Arabidopsis thaliana: one gene and its partner. The protein of the gene in region 1 purifies or fractionates together with the protein of each later gene. This does not show direct contact. Each region holds a gene or a part of one and is shown on either strand. Other genes may lie near its edges.

Evidence for each region.
Region 2: the proteins of AT4G32610 (region 1) and AL4 fractionate together in Arabidopsis thaliana (co-fractionation; one large-scale study listed by BioGRID). This does not show direct contact.

What each region holds. Positions count from the first base shown.
Region 1 is NC_003075.7:15,727,490-15,732,507, reverse strand, and holds AT4G32610 (copper ion binding protein), read left to right. Parts: upstream 1-2,074; 5' UTR 2,075-2,610; coding exon 2,611-2,931; intron 2,932-3,332; coding exon 3,333-3,597; intron 3,598-3,770; coding exon 3,771-4,132; 3' UTR 4,133-4,424; downstream 4,425-5,018. Other genes in the region: AT4G32620 (Enhancer of polycomb-like transcription factor protein), read right to left, coding at 1-540; AT4G32605 (Mitochondrial glycoprotein family protein), read left to right, coding at 4,644-4,817, 4,979-5,018.
Region 2 is NC_003076.8:9,157,732-9,162,423, forward strand, and holds AL4 (alfin-like 4), read right to left. Parts: upstream 2,763-4,692; 5' UTR 2,491-2,762; coding exon 2,394-2,490; intron 2,302-2,393; coding exon 2,269-2,301; intron 1,706-2,268; coding exon 1,477-1,705; intron 1,326-1,476; coding exon 1,193-1,325; intron 1,111-1,192; coding exon 835-1,110; 3' UTR 587-834; downstream 1-586. Other genes in the region: AT5G26200 (Mitochondrial substrate carrier family protein), read left to right, coding at 1-565. UniProt on the Arabidopsis thaliana protein: Histone-binding component that specifically recognizes H3 tails trimethylated on 'Lys-4' (H3K4me3), which mark transcription start sites of virtually all active genes.

The DNA of each region.
Region 1 (5,018 bases):
AGAGTCCTTCTCTTCAACTTTAGAGGGTTGATCCTGAACACTAGATTCTTCAGCAGTAACCTTAGGGATATTAACAACCAGCTCCTCCTGACTATCAGACTCCCCTGCAGACTTCTGTGCTAGGCCATTCTCAAACCTACTCCTCCCAACAAAATCTCTCCTGCGTCTAGGAACATAAATCGTACTACTTGCCAAACCAACAGAAATCACTTGAAGCCCATTACTGTCACACAATTTCTCATCCAAACCCACCTCCTTGGAGTCCTCCAAATTGTGCAATATAGTGGTGCCATTGCATGCCTTATCCAGAATACTCTCGTTCTGGCTACCTACTTTCTTAAAACTACTTAGAGAAACAACTTTCCTGCTCTTCTTGTCCTGCTTCAACTGATCACCATCAATCCCAGACCTATGTTTTCTTTTAAAGCTCTTATTCACTGAATCCTTGGAAATGCTAGACTTATAGAGCGTCTTAAGATCTAAAGACCTGGATTTCTTCGAAATTCCCACTCCATTAGAGTTACCTAGTCTATTTTCCATGAAAGCCACCTCGAACCAATACCCAGAATCAAAAGCCAGCAGGTCTCAAATTCCATCATATACGCAAGCAAACATTTTTCAGATCTGTGACACCAAAACCAAACCCAGAATCACAAAAAGTACCCAAAGTATGATAAAAGAAGAACACACAAGTCACCCAAAGAAACAGATCAAATCCCACTTCAGGAAAAAACTTTGCATTGAAATCCAAGCAATTGTTTTTTCAACAATCAAGCAAAATTTAACTGCAAAAAATTAAAAAAAAAAAGAGAGAAATTTGCATGCCTACCTGCATCACTTTATCAGACGAAATCGAGTCTCTTAAGGACCTTTATAGTCGCCACAATCCCAAAATCAAAATTAGGGTTTCGGTAAATCGGACTGCGAATCGGATCCCTAAATCAAACAATCGAAAATTTCCCAAAAGTATTCGTTCAATTTAGCCGAAAATAAAAAAAGCAAAATTTGCTTCTTTTTTTTTTCTTTTTTAACCGGGAGAAACGGGAGAGCTAGGGTTTCGTCTGGTTCCGCGAGAGTAAGGTTTTTTCAGTTATAAAGAAAACATATTCCAAATAAACATCGTATCACGGGTACCGTCCGATGGAGACGCGTTACTATATCTACGGTCCATATTTAGTTTCGAAATAAGCACTAAATTTTTAACTCTGCAACAGAAAAGATATAATGGACGTTCGAGATTCTCAGCTGCGAAATATTTGTTTGGACGGTCAGGATTTAAAGATTTCTTCAGAGAGAATAATTTATTGTTGTCACGTGTGTTGCTAACCTACCGCAATCTTGTGTTTGTCCACCTAGCCAACAATTGTTAGAGACATCATTCAACTTAACAACTATTATTACTAGAATACTAGGGGATAATTTAAGTATAAAATCATCACATTACAGTATTATCTTTTTAATAATTTATATATATATATATATATTATTGTTATTTTCTTTTAATATATAAACTTCATTCATCCATTAGCTTAACAATTTTCCAATATTTTGTAAAAATATATATATACATATTATTAGGAGTTTTCGGACCATATTTAAGTATTAGTGTATTACTACCTTATTATGTGTTTAAATATATATTTTTATTAAATATAGACATATAGCAAAAAGAATTAGTAGTAGAGAGATTGATTGGAATCAATTTTTGATTAATTATATAGTGTAAACTAAGCTTTAAGAATATTTAAAAAATAGATTTGGTTTCCTTATAAATATGAATTAAGGTCATTATTAACGTATCATAAGATTTAGAGCAATGTATAAACACAAGAAGAAAAACAATAAAAGTTCAGAAATTCCTTTTTCGATTCAAAAATACGTTAAAAATTGACAAAATATTTTGGCGGGTGGATTGTATATTGGAACCCAAAATTTGCTTTTTTAATACAGAAAAATAAAATAAAATTGGCTTAATTGGAAAAACTAATATTGAGTTCATAAACCAAATTAAGGTTTAATTAGACAGTCTAATCCAATGTTCGGTTCAATTTTGTAATCAAATGTTCGGTTCAATTTTGTAATCAAATGTTCGGTTTGATGATCCATAAGAGAGGAGATAACATCCCAAATAGAGACAGATCCCCTTCCCTTGTCGTGTAGCCCAGTAGCTCTAATCGCTACGATTGCTACACACCACATCCCTTAAGAAAACCCTAATCATCTCTCTCTCGCATTCTATAGGAATCGCTTCCCGAAGCTTCCAACATTCTCTTGTTTCTCCTTTGTCTCTCAATTTCAGTTTCCTATATTATACGCTTGTATTAATCACCAGTATACATTTTGTCGTTTCTGGGTCTGGAACCCTAGTAGTTATTATAGCATCCATCGCTTTCTTCAATCGCCGTCCATCAGAGTTTCAAGGGATTTGCTTTAAAGATCAATCCTTTCCTAAGAAAATAGCGACAATTCATCAGCTTTTCCTTTCCCATCCTTCATTACCTTAACTTACTCGAGATTCATCTTCCAGCTGAAATTGTGAAACTTCGTTTCTGGGTTTTTATCAGAAAACACTCTGTGACTTATTGTGTGGTGATCGAGGAAAGAAAAAAGATGGTTGGTGGTGGAAACAGGAGAGATGAGGGATCGATGCCGATTCAGAACACCAACTTGTTTGCTGCTTTGGATACTTCGAGGAAGAAGAAGAAGTCTGATAAGGCTGGTAAGAGCAAAGCTTCCTCTAAGAGAGAAGATTCACAGAAGGAGCCTGAGCCACAGGTTTTCTGGGCACCTACGCCTCTCAAAGCAAAGGCTTGGGCTGATATCGATAGCGATGATGAAGATGATGATTATTACGCTACCACTGCTCCACCTCAGTCCCTGTGGAGCACTTCTGAAGCCTCCCATTCAGATGCTAAAGACGTTCCCGCTGAGGTCACAAGTCCAAATCTTTCATATATATGTTGATTTTGGGTTCATCATCATAGCTTTATGCATTTCACATGTTGAAAATTGTAACACTGGTTTAATATGTCTCTTGCAATAAGCCTCTTTAGATTTCAAATGCTTCCACGAATTGAATGAGTTGGCCTTTTTTTCTACTGTTGTTATCTCGCTTAGGCTTAGGCTTGTGTTGTCTGAATTCTGAAAGGGAAATTAATGTTATTGTGAAGTAAGCTGCTTTGTCTCCTGAAGGTTCATATATCTAATTGCATTGTTATCGAAATTTTTCTAGGCAATGTAAGTTTGTTGTGCAATGGTTTCTCTAAACCGTGGTTGTGTGCCTATCTGTTCATTTGTTTCTCATAGAGATGCATTTGATTTCAATGTCGCAGGAAATTGAAAGCGAAGAAGACACTCTTGATGATGGAGATGATGATGATGTGGAGGAAGATCACGAGCAGGGAACAGAGACACAAGTTCATCCAGAAGCAGAGCCTGAGGTGAAAAAGGCTCCTGAAGTTCGTGCTCCTCCTAAGGAGGCAGAGAGGCAACTTTCCAAGAAAGAGAGGAAAAAGAAGGAACTTGCTGAGCTTGAGGCTTTGCTAGCAGATTTTGGAGTTGCAACCAAAGATGAGAATGGTCAACAAGACTCTCAAGGTATAGCACAATTTCACTTTACTATATTCACTCGTTGGTAACAATTCTACTCTACTCTATTCACTCGTTGGTGATATTTATCTGTGGATACCTTTCTACGCTGAGGTATCACTGGCTGAGAAAACCATGTTATGGCTAATACTGATAGACGTTTCTTCTGCAAATATGAACAGATAAGGGGGAGAAGAAAGAAGTGAATGATGAGGGAGAGAAGAAGGAGAACACAACCGGAGAATCAAAGGCCTCAAAGAAGAAGAAAAAGAAGGACAAACAGAAGGAGCTAAAAGAATCCCAGAGTGAAGTGAAGAGCAACTCGGATGCTGCAAGTGAGTCCGCTGAGCAGGAGGAGTCTTCTTCTTCCATCGACGTCAAAGAACGGCTAAAGAAGATTGCATCAATGAAGAAGAAGAAATCAAGCAAGGAGGTTGATGGTGCTTCAACAGCTGCTGCAAAGGAAGCAGCTGCGAGGAAGGCAAAGTTGGCCGCAGCGAAGAAAAAAGAAAAGAAAAACTACAATCAGCAACCTGTGAGGTGAAGAAATCAATCCACCCACCGTTGTGATATGAACATAGGTTTTGTTCATATGAGACTTACTTGCCTTGAACAAATCTTTTGATGGGGAATGTGGTTGGGTCGTGTTTTAGAGTTATGATAACTTTGGATCTTTTAATCCTATCACAATGGAACATGACAAGAAGAAACTCTGTTTGAATTTTTCCTTTTACATACATTCTTTGCTCATCATGGTTATACTTGGATTTGTTTTATCTCCCACAACAATTTCTACTTCTTGATCTTACATATTATTAGTTGTGGCTAAGCCAGCGCTTAATAAAGTTAATCTATGAGTCTGAATCGACAAAATCAATTGATTATTTTAATTATATGTTTATCAAACGAATTAGATCATATTTTTGACAAACCTAAATAGGTATATTTCTCTTGCGGTTTATTCGACGAAAAAGAAAAGTTGGTACAGTATTTATTTTACTCTCTTAAGACAATTCGTCGTGTTGCTTGCTACTCTCGACGACGGAGAAGTAGAAATGTGGAGAAGAGTGATCGGAAATGTCGCCGTCCGGCATCAATTACAGCGAGCGCTATCTAGTAAAGCCGGTGGAAGTGGAAAGAGCGCCAACGTTTCAGCTGCAGTGGATTCGATGCTTCTGCGTTCCCTCAAGGAACATTACTTAGAGGTTTCTAAGATGACTCCTCCTCCGGTTCGTTCCTCCTCTTCTCTCTCTCTTTCTGTGTTTTCTCTCTATGTCTCGTCTTAGGTACAACTGAAATTTCAGTACTGTTACTTAAACCCTAGCTTAGCTGCTGCTTCCTCCACTTAGGGTTTATGGTGGGATTTACAGATTTTTGATTGATTTTGCAGAAAGTGAGTCCTCCGTCACCATTTGAGATTGTGAAAGGGT
Region 2 (4,692 bases), on another chromosome or scaffold:
TATTGTGAGTCAAGGGCTTATGGTTCAAGGCGATGTCTCCTTGAGTAAGCATCTTCCTGGAGTGATGAACTCTTGCAGATACAGAAATGGGTTTGATGCTTTTAGAAAGATTCTTTACACAGATGGACCAAGAGGGTTCTACAGAGGATTTGGGATCTCGATCTTGACTTACGCACCTTCCAACGCGGTTTGGTGGGCGTCTTATTCTTTGGCTCAAAAATCAATTTGGTCTCGATACAAGCACTCCTACAACCACAAGGAAGATGCTGGTGGCTCAGTGGTGGTTCAAGCGTTGAGTGCAGCTACAGCAAGCGGTTGCTCGGCTTTAGTAACTATGCCAGTAGACACAATCAAGACGCGGTTGCAAGTCTTAGACGCAGAAGAGAACGGGAGGAGACGAGCAATGACAGTGATGCAGTCAGTGAAGAGCTTGATGAAGGAAGGAGGAGTTGGTGCTTGTTACAGAGGATTAGGACCAAGATGGGTCTCAATGTCGATGTCCGCAACAACGATGATCACAACCTACGAGTTCTTGAAGCGCCTAGCAACAAAGAAGCAGAAATGATATATTGATAAAACCTTGTTGTGTTAAGACTAACCAAAATACTTTTGATTGAGTTTGAAGAATGTTAATAAACAAACATAAAACAGAGCAAAAGATCATTACCCCTAAACAAAGAGTTATCCCTTCAATCGCCAAAATGTAACAATGAAAAAACTAAAATGTCTTCCTAAATTACCAAATCCATATGACAAATCTGATCTAAACCAAACAGTTAAGCTGTTCATCATCATATGCAAAGGTAGATACACAGAAGCGAGCGGTCAACAAATTTAGGAACGAGCCCTTTTGTTGCTGCAAGAAGGGCACTTGTATTGCTTGATGTGCTCAGCTCTTGCTGGTGTTATCTTAACACACTTTCCATGAAACCACATCTCACAGAGGTCACAGCAAATCCAGAACTCATCAGCTGCATAGCTCTCACCACATGCTCCACACTGTGTTTCACCTTGCTCATCCTCATCCTCCTCTTCCACACCTTCCTCTTCCTCCTCCTCATCATCTTTCGGCTCCGGCTTTGAGAACTTGGCACGGGATTCAGATCCTCGCTGTAACGTGAGACAAAGAAACCAGAATTAGTACAAGGATTAAACTGTAGAGAAGAAGTACAGTGGAAAACAAAGTCTCTACCTTGGAGCTTGATTTGGATCTGTTGCTGCTGTTGTTGGAAACAGAGGACTTATCTTTTCCTTGTTTCTTAGCAGTGCCAGCTACAACCTCAAAGATTGTTGGGAGGTCATTCACCATATTGAAAAGCCTCTTCCTGTAACAAATGTGAAAGAACATAAATCACAGAGAGCTACATAAACGGTGAAGGAGTAGAACAATGAGTGACTGAGAGGCTTGCATCTATATACCACCAAGGAACATAGATGTAAGAAGATTAGACTTAAAGAGGAGAAGGATATACATACCTATCAGCTTTGTCAAATCCAAACCTGGCTCCAAAAAAGAAAGCAACAGCAAGAAGCCAAGCATCACTGTGGACAGCAACAAGGGACAACCAATCCTTTTCCGCCATCCCGTCTCTGGCAAAATTGATACCCAAGACAGGCTCTGGGAGCTCAGGAGGAACCTCTTCAGCTGGCAAATTCACTTCCCAGTGCTCATTTGGATGTCCGTAAAGGCAAAGGTTCTCCTTTTCTATAATCACAAAAGGAAAATGATGACAATTGTTCAAAAAACCTTAAATTAAAACCAAGTCAAACAAAAAATCAACACTTTGACTCCGCTCAAACTCTACACTGCAATTCAAATAAATCTGACAAAATCACAATTTTATCCACAAAACAGAGACAATAGAATCTATGAACCCTAAATGCTTCACTGAAACAACAACAATCAGATTGAAACAAACCACAACGAAGCAAATTCAAAAAACCAAACTTTCGCCGGCGAGAATCAATCTCGAAGGAACAACAACACTCACAAGGATCACAAACAAATTTTTTCTTTAGTTGAAAACACAATCGAACCAAGTCAAACAAAAATCAATACTTTCGACACTGGAGCGCAATTCAAATAAATCTAAACAAAATCATAAACAGAAAAGAGAGAGAGAGAGAGACTATGAACCCTAAATGCTTCACTGAAACAACAACACTCAGATTAAAACAGAGCAAAACATAGAAAAATTCAAAAAACACAAATAAAAATCAAAACTTTCGTTAATTCAAATCAAATCTCAAAGGAACAACAACACTCACCGGGATCACAAAGTCGGAAAAACTCCTGAACATCTGCACACACAAAAGGGTAATCTCAAAATTCAGTTTTTTTCCGGTGACAAAACTGAGATAGTAATAAGAAGAAAGAAAAAACAAATTGTTACCAGTGGTTAAAGCCTTAATCATGCCAGCTCTACGACCCTTAAAATCCCTAAACACCTCTTCAACAGTGCGTGGATTGTACGCGCCACCTGCTTCCATCTTTCTTACAGAACAAACAGCTTCGAAGGAGACAAGACAAGAGTGAAAGAGAGAGAGAGAGAGAGACAAGTATTTGACCGGCGCTGAGAGAATTTGGGTTTGCGAGAGAAAGAAAGATGTGAAAGAGAAAAAGGGCGGACCCAAAAACAATTAAGCGGATTTAATAAGATGAGGAGGAGTCCGCAAAATGAATCTGATGAGGAGGAGAGCACGATAAGTTTTATCTTTCATCCTCTTAGATCTTGACGCGTATCTCCTGATTTCTGTTGTTGTATCTATGGATATGTTTTTAATTGGATTGGCTTATTTTTCGGGTAATAGATGTTTATCAAGCTTGAAATTAAGAGTTTTGTGTTAATGATACATTAAATTGTAATGGTTGTAAGATTGCAGAAAGTTTTATTAGATACTCTGTTTTTTCGAAACAAATGTTCGGTAATCTGGTATCTGCGAAATAAATTTGACCGTTTTTCTGTTTTTCGCGGTAAATGTTCGGTAATCTGGTAACTCAGAAATAAATTTGACCGTTTTCTATATTTTCATTCGCGCTCTTTTTGAACATGGTAAGGGATACATACTTTATTTTAGATTAGTGAGAGGTTTCGGTAAGTGTTTATCAAATATTCAGTTTTTCGCTTTAAATTTCGGTAATCTGATATTTAAGAAATAAGTTTGACTTTGTTCTACATTTTTTGGTTTCGTTTTGTCTTTCGCGCCAATTTTTGGTATTCTGGTATCTGAGAAATAAGTTTGACTGTTAATTTTATTTCTTCACTCGAGGTCTAGTCTTTTTTTTAAAAGAGTAATAATAGTCTGGTTTTGATTAATGAGAGCTTTTAAATAGTCTTACTAGTTACTAGATACCTTTTTCGCACCAAATTTTTGGTGATCTGGTGTTTGATAAATAAGTTCAATCTCTTCTCTTTTTCAAGGTCTTTTTGATTTTTTAATAAGTACTATGCATTATTAATATTTTGGAAAAAAGTTTATTCAAAATACTTGGTTCTTTCGTGTCAATCATCCAAATATATCGATAACCCATATACAATTTGATAGATCGAACTATACACTAGGAATAAAATTGTAGTTTCATGGATTTCATGAATTTATGAATCATATCTAATTCCAATATAGTAAGATTTTGAAGTAGTGTTATCTATAAAATCATGATTCAGTCCTCAATTTTGATATTTTATGTGGATAGAAAATCTTAACTTGTAGGTAATTTGGTGAGAGTGAGACTGATAAAAGAGAATAAGAACTATGTTTTACTGAACAAAGTACTTAAAGCAATGAATATATTTTTGTTTTCTAAATTGAATTGAAGAGACACGGAGAGAGTAGTAATGTTGATAGATTCAAATGTCAAACACCTCCTCTAGAATCCTTAATCTTTGTATGAGGTACACTTCAAGATCTTCAAGAATTCTTTTGATTTTTTTTCTAAATCAAATGCAACGTTAAATTTGACTCTAGAAAATGGGCTTGAAGTCTCCAAGCTAAACTCATTACATGTCACACAGACACGCAAGATAGTGATCTGATGGCTTTATTTGCCCAAACTGGATACAAAATCCCAATACCATCAATAAGTTCTGTAATAATGCAAGCAAGACGATAAGCGCATTGAACTATATTGCATTCAAAGATTGTGATATGCATCAGATGTCATTGAATATTTCTCAATTTGATCTTTTGATAAAGATCCCATGAAATCATTGACGGTTGCATAAAAATTCTTAATGTTTTCGCTAGTTATTATTACATTCACAATTAACAAAATTCAAAATTTATATAAATCGGCTCATCTTCCACTTTTCCAATTACTCATATGTATATGATTTTTCCACAATTTGAATTAAGGTAACTTCTATTATCGTCTTGATATAATTCTCGCTTATCAAACTTTATATTTGGAAAATAACATATTCAATTGGACGAGAAAGATACATATGTGAAACTTTCACTAATCTTAAAGAAAAAACATTAAAATTTGGGATTGCATAAAGTTAAGTCTCACTAAAATCCAACTTGGCAAAGTTATTGCACAAAGATAAGTCTAACAAAATCCGACAAATGGCAAGATTCTAATTAGTTTTGGTTTGACATATATTATTATTATTATTATTTTCATTTTGACATATGTTATTTAATAAATTAAATCTAACACTTGTGAAGAAATTTTTATTCTAAAAAATCATT